2 linked regions of the Saccharomyces cerevisiae S288C genome follow. The gene in region 1 interacts genetically with each later gene. Each region holds a gene or a part of one and is shown on either strand. Other genes may lie near its edges.

Region 1 (3,472 bases):
GGAAAAAAATGTGGAAATTGGCAGTGGACGTGAGAACAAAAAAGCACCGCTGAAAGGCTTGGCCAAGGAAGTTTAGAAAGGCGATAATAACGAGGTAAGAAGAAAGAAAAAAAAAGAAAAAGATGGCTTAGCAAAAGATTGGTTTTTATCCCGGGGGAGTTGTTGTGGCCGGGAGCAAGAGAAGAGACGCAGCAAGCGTGGGTCAATGATAATGACGCAGCGCGACGCGACGCGACGCGAATTCAAAAGTGTGAGTTTGCTCGGGGATAGTAATAATGCGGGGGGGAAGACGAAACAGACCGTGTGTGGTGTGGGTGGGATTTCGTGGGAGCACGTGGCGAGCAGAGGAAGAGCCTCACACAATGCTGCGTTCTTCATAAAGGGGATCAAAGCAAATAGATAATCGATTCCAAAGACAGATGGCTGACACGCACTTTCACAGTTTCGCAGTTTTTTCTTTTTTCGTAGTCGCTTTCCTAGTCGCTTTCCTGGCTCTTTACCTAATCGGGCTTAACCTAGCAGTACCTTTTCTCGATTCATGAAATCAAAACGCTAGTCACTTCCTTATAATTTCCTTTTTCAATTTCCGCCGCTTGCGTTTACGTAGTTTATCTATTTATAGGTACGGTATACCCTACTGCATTAATAACAATGAGTCCAGCTTTTCTTGGGTCAGTTGAATATTTAATGCATGCTTGTCGCACTGGTTATTTAGGAGCCGCAATTCTAGCTCATTAGAATTGATTTTTAGGTTTAGTTCTTCCAAAGCGGAATCGATGGAATCGCTCTCTTTGAAAACTTCCCTCGCCTTTTCACATTCACTTTCGGTGTTGTTTGTCTTTTTCACATTTTTATCAAAATCTGTCAAGTAAATAAAGGGGGAATCTTTCATATCTAGTATTCTTTTCTTCTTGACGACGCTGCTGCTAGAGCCGTCGCTGTTACTTCTATTTTCTGGTACGTGTACTGGGTAACCCTTTGCATAATAGCCATTCGATGGGGGAGGCGGTGGTGTCTCACGGTGGTGGTAATTATTGTAAGTATGGCTGCTGGAATATGGATAAGCACTGCTGTGATATGATCTATTGTTGGTTATAGACGATACTGAAGGTGGTGGCGGAAGCCCGTTGCTGGTGCTGCTAGTGCTGCTGTTCCCACTACTACCATTTCTGCTGCTGGTGCTGCCAACGCTCATCGGTTGTTGGCGTGGATGATCTGCCTGCATGTTCCGGTATCTGGACTTGACTCTTTTTTCGTCATTATCTTCTTGCGAGGCGCTCGTGGTCCTGCCGTTCGTATCTTGACTATTGCCACGTTGCGGTAGGTGGTACGAATTTGTACCATTGTTGTACCTGGGGGATGGTTGTGCTTGGTAATGCCTGCTATTAGCTGAATAGTACGGCCTTGTATCTGTGTATCCGTTTCGATAGTATGCTCCGGTTTGTCTCAAGTCTCCCTCTTGGGGCGGCTGCTCATAGTCACTGTTGTATCTCGCGCCATAAGACGCATTACCGCCTCTGTAATACGATCCGCCTGCTCCACCTCTACTTCGTCTCGCATGGTGATAACCCCCCCTTTGTCTCGGAGGAGTGGATGAGTATCTGCTATAATTATTTCCCGTGTATCCGCTCATACTTTACTGCGGTTTTTTGGTCACCTCTTCTGCCTCGTAATAAATGTGGTGTTCTTTCCTTTCATCGCAGTTGATTCATTCTCTCTGATGAAAATAAGAGAAAAAAAAGAACTTCACAGGGTAATGGCCCGTACAAAGTGTCTTTTTTTTCAATTCGGAACGGCGGAATTCCCCGCCACTCTTGCCCCGCCCCTTAAAACGCCAAGGTGAAAGGGAGCTCTACTACAGGCCCGCCACAGTATGATGTGGGATAAAAAAGATGATAGGAAGAAAAGGTGCAGACAACATCCTGTATGGGGTGCACGGTGTGGCAGTGCTAGTAATAAAATGATGTGGAGATTAACATGTTGTGGTACGGTATTCTTATCTTCAAGGTACCACAGTATAATTCTGCCTTTATCATTTTTTATTTGTATTATGTATTTTCGTGCTTATCTTGTAATTTTTAAGTTTTGGATTTCGGTGCTTCGTGTAGTTCTTCCCCTATATCTCAATCTAAAGTAAATTATTACAAAATATGGTGGTGATCTTTTAATCTCAAAGCTTCTTTTACTCCGGGCATTATAAAAACAGAATCTCTTAGCAGTTACTCTTTTCCCTTTTCTCTTGTGCCGTCATATTAGAGTAATTATAATTTCTTCTTTTTCGGCTTCCCCTTGTTTCTACAAAATCTCGATTTTATTATCTAACACTATCATAACTACTACTATTACTATTACTATTATTATTATTATTATAAATCTTAAAACTATTATTTGCTAAAACAAAATGGATGCTTTTGAGAATATGTCTGTATCAAATCATCCGGGCGGTAACGCAAGAAGAAACTCCCAATCAGCAAACGAAATGCTTGCATCGCAAATTCAGGATTTCCAGAATATTCCAAGGTCTTTCAATGACAGCAATGCAAATGTAAATTTGTCAAAAAATTGTACTGTCGGCAATCAACTGCCTTTCTCATCACGTCAACAAAAAATTATCATGGAACATTTACTGATAACGAAGAACAATTCTCAACAGCAGAAGGACTATTCACACGTGCCATGCAAATTTTTTAAGATGGGCAATTGCCAAGCTGGCTCGTCTTGTCCCTTTTCCCATTCCCCAGATATTATCAGTTCTGCGAATAATTTACCTTGCAAGTATTTCGCAAAGGGTAACTGTAAATTCGGTAACAAGTGTGTTAATGCTCATGTGCTGCCAAATGGGTTCAAGATGAACAGTAAAGAACCTATTGACATCACTCCCCCTTCACAAAACAACTACTTATCCCATGCTAGATCAGCTTCTTTCTCTACCTACACGTCTCCTCCTCTGTCTGCACAAACGGAATTCTCTCACTCTGCTTCGAATGCAAACTACTTTTCCTCGCAATACCTAATGTATTCGCCTCAGAAAAGTCCAGAGGCCCTATATACTGAATTCTTTTCTCCCCCTTCGTCTTCTTCTTCGTACATCAACTATAGCTATAATAACTCCAACATTAATGCCTATTCTCCAGTCTCTTCGTCTTCATCTAACATTTGGCAAGAGCAAGGCCAAACTACGTTATCGAATCCGAGTGTGAATCAGAATTTAAGGTATCGTACAGGCCCTGCAATTCAAGAAGAATCAGATAATGAAATTGAAGATTTACTTATTCACAATTTCAATTCCAGATACTGTCATGAATGAAGAGCCGCCCCATCCATAGTTTTTCCTAGTTCAAGCATTAATATACCGGACCACTCTACATCTTCCGAAAGCCGGAAAATAAGAACAAAAAATAATAAAAAAAAGCACGTTTAATATAAAAAACATTTCATTGTATGAGTTGGATTCTTTTAATTTTATTTTAAA
Region 2 (3,331 bases), on another chromosome or scaffold:
TCTTTCCAAGTTCTCTCTGTTAGGATTTTGAGATCTGGAGTATTCGTAAGTACCGATAGGGTTAGCTGGAGAAGATTGTTTGAAAGTGGTGGACAAAGAAATGGGTTCGATCACGGAACCGTGAACGTCCACATGTTCACCGGCATGAATGGCCTTGGTAGCAAATTTATCAGATTCTTGTAGAGTCATATTTTTTTTGGTTTTGTCTTGTGTGTATATGTATAAGGTGCAAATGTCTATGTGTATAGGCCTCAATTGTACTTTCAAAATTCAATCTGGCACGGCACAAGTTCCATCTACCTGGCATCTTATGCTTTAAATAACTGAAATATTTTTTTCTTTTCTTTTCCTCGAGGATTTTTATGGAAAAAAAAGTGTGGCGCCACAACTGGCTGAGATCACGTGAATGGCTAATTATTAGTAATGAAGGGTGGAATTACATAGCGTTACAACATATTTAAGAATAACAAAAAGAAGTGGTATGGGGTCCAGTGTGGCGGTCACTGGGCCCACTGGTGGAAGTCGTCGTTGATTTCGGAGTCTCTAAGCGGGTTCAACTCAGGAGCACCCGGGAAGGAGTGGAAATATTTGCGCAGGCCTTCGAGGTCGCTAATCTCGTTATTGAGCCTCATTCGGTCCACAATGACTTCGAGTTTGTCCACCGGGTTGGCTCTGTAGCGGTACTCGATGCTTTCGCAAGCGAGGTCCTCTGCCACGGGCTCGCCGGGATAGCACAGCTGTGCTGCGCTGGCGTAGCCCGTGATACAGCTCAGCGTCTTGTTATCAAGTTTGATGGGGACGTGGTAATTGACATCTGGGATGACTATATCCATATCGCGGCGCTCCTTGTTGATATCGTACCAGGTCTGCGTGGTTCTGTTCAGCAGCCTGGCTCGCAGGTCGGTGACCTTCTTGTGGAAGTCCTGGTGAATGAATGTCCTGGTAGCGATTGTTTCTGTGTTGATGCATGAAAGCTCGTACTTCTGTCGCTGGTACGCTCGGTGTAGCTTGTAGTCACGGATCGCGGCAATCTTCGAGTAGTAGACCTGCAATTCCGGGTGTGACCCTTCCAGACACATCTGCAGCTCCGTTTGCAACCGCACCAATTGATTGTCATATAGTTTTTGGCGCAATTGCGCGAACTTGTACTCGATGTCGGTGATTTCCTTCAGCGCAGTCATCCTCTGTTCCTCCATTTCGATGGGGGAGGGCATCACCAGCGCAGGCGGTGCTGTATGCTCGTTTTCGTTTTCATTATCCTCCTCGTTGTTTTCCTCCTCATTATCACCTTCGTCCCCTTGCTCGTCCCTGGCGTCGGTGCTCTTCTCCTTGCTGTCAATTGCCTCTTCCAGTTCTTGACTCTTTTCCTCTTCCTTGCTTTCGTCCTCGTTCTCTCCCGGCACTTTCATCTTCTTGGCCTCATCTATCGCCTCTTTCTCATCTTCGTGTGGTCTTTTCAAGCTCTCGGTGAGCGTCTCTTGCTTCACCAGGCTGGATAGCTTGGGAGCGTATTTCAACTCCGGCAGATTGGCCAACGACTTCTCCTCGTCGCTATCCATCTTCTCTGTTCCTGCGTCACTGGATATACAGTATTCCGATAAATTCAAATTGTGATTCAAATCCGTATTGAAGTCAATGTTGCTCAACACGCTCTCTTGATCAAGGTCCTGTTCTTTCGCTGTGGTCTGTTCACTTTCCTGTGGTGTTTGCTGACTCATCTGCCACGATCGATGCGCCTCCTCTTGCTTCTGTGCTTCCTTCCCTTGTACTTTGCCGTTGCACTGTTATGAGTTTATTATTTCTAAAAATCATTTTATAAGAATAAAATTTCCCAGCACGACTTTGATCACCCGAAAGGGCAAAAACAAGTAAAGAACAAGAAATAAATGCTGAGACTTTACAATGGAAAACGAATAAAGCATAGAGACAGATCTCACGACAGCAAATAGATGCGTAAGCACACACGGTATGGATGTGTTGAAGCTGGGTTATGAACTGGACCAGCTCTCTGATCTGGTCGAAGAAAGAACAAGGCTAGTGTCGGTGTTGAAGCTCGCCCCGACCTCAAACGATAACGTTACTTTGAAACGGCAATTGGGCTCAATATTGGAGTTATTGCAGAAGTGTGCGCCCAATGATGAACTAATATCCCGATACAATACCATACTGGACAAAATTCCTGATACGGCGGTTGACAAGGAGTTGTATAGGTTCCAACAGCAGGTGGCAAGAAATACTGATGAGGTGTCCAAAGAGTCTTTGAAAAAAGTGCGGTTCAAGAATGATGACGAGCTTACGGTCATGTATAAGGATGACGATGAACAAGACGAGGAGTCGCCGCTGCCTTCGACGCATACTCCATACAAGGATGAACCATTGCAATCGCAGTTACAGTCACAGTCACAGCCACAGCCACCACAACCCATGGTTTCCAACCAAGAACTATTTATTAACCAGCAACAGCAGTTGTTAGAGCAAGATTCCCACTTGGGCGCACTGTCTCAGTCTATTGGGAGGACTCATGACATTTCGCTGGACCTTAATAATGAGATCGTTTCTCAGAACGACTCGCTGCTGGTTGATTTAGAAAACCTGATTGATAATAATGGTAGGAATTTGAACAGGGCCTCTCGGTCCATGCATGGCTTTAACAATTCTAGGTTCAAGGATAACGGCAACTGCGTGATTATTCTTGTGCTGATAGTGGTGCTCCTGTTGCTTCTATTAGTATTATAACATTATATTCTGTTTTTTAGGCTCGAATACGAAGTTTGGTTTTGATCTTTTTTTTTTTCTTTTTCTTTCACTTAGTAATAACCTCCTCTTTAATGATTCATCATATATTTGTATCTATATATACTTTATAGCCCAAAAAAAAAAAAAATATGCAAAAGATCAGTAAATACTCATCTATGGCAATTCTGAGGAAAAGACCGCTGGTAAAGACTGAAACTGGGCCAGAATCAGAACTCCTACCGGAGAAAAGGACCAAAATCAAACAAGAAGAGGTTGTCCCTCAACCCGTGGATATCGACTGGGTTAAATCGCTGCCAAATAAGCAGTACTTCGAATGGATTGTGGTTAGAAACGGCAATGTGCCCAACAGGTGGGCCACACCATTGGACCCCTCGATCCTTGTCACTCCGGCCTCGACGAAAGTCCCTTACAAGTTTCAAGAAACATACGCTAGAATGCGAGTACTGAGATCTAAGATTCTAGCCCCCGTCGATATAATTGGTGGATCATCCATTCCTGTAACGGTTGCCTCTAAGTGTGGTATCTCGAAAGAGCAGATATCACCGAGGGACTACAGATTACAGGTCCTTCTTGG

The links.
Region 2: mutations in LGE1 (region 1) and DEP1 together harm fitness more than expected from each alone (negative genetic interaction), as found in Saccharomyces cerevisiae (5 studies listed by BioGRID, with this or other methods).

The regions. Positions count from the first base shown.
Region 1 is NC_001148.4:453,358-456,829, forward strand, and holds LGE1 (Lge1p), read right to left. Parts: upstream 1,634-3,472; coding exon 635-1,633; downstream 1-634. Other genes in the region: LCL1 (Lcl1p), read right to left, coding at 73-378; LEE1 (Lee1p), read left to right, coding at 2,402-3,307. UniProt on the Saccharomyces cerevisiae protein: Required to activate transcription of PDR3, a gene involved in retrograde regulation of multidrug resistance, a phenomenon that takes place in cells that have lost their mitochondrial genome. Also required for ubiquitination of histone H2B to form H2BK123ub1.
Region 2 is NC_001133.9:127,657-130,987, reverse strand, and holds DEP1 (Rpd3L histone deacetylase complex subunit DEP1), read right to left. Parts: upstream 1,719-3,331; coding exon 501-1,718; downstream 1-500. Other genes in the region: cystathionine gamma-lyase CYS3, read right to left, coding at 1-189; SYN8 (syntaxin), read left to right, coding at 1,969-2,736; bifunctional N-glycosylase/AP lyase NTG1, read left to right, coding at 2,886-3,331. UniProt on the Saccharomyces cerevisiae protein: Component of the RPD3C(L) histone deacetylase complex (HDAC) responsible for the deacetylation of lysine residues on the N-terminal part of the core histones (H2A, H2B, H3 and H4).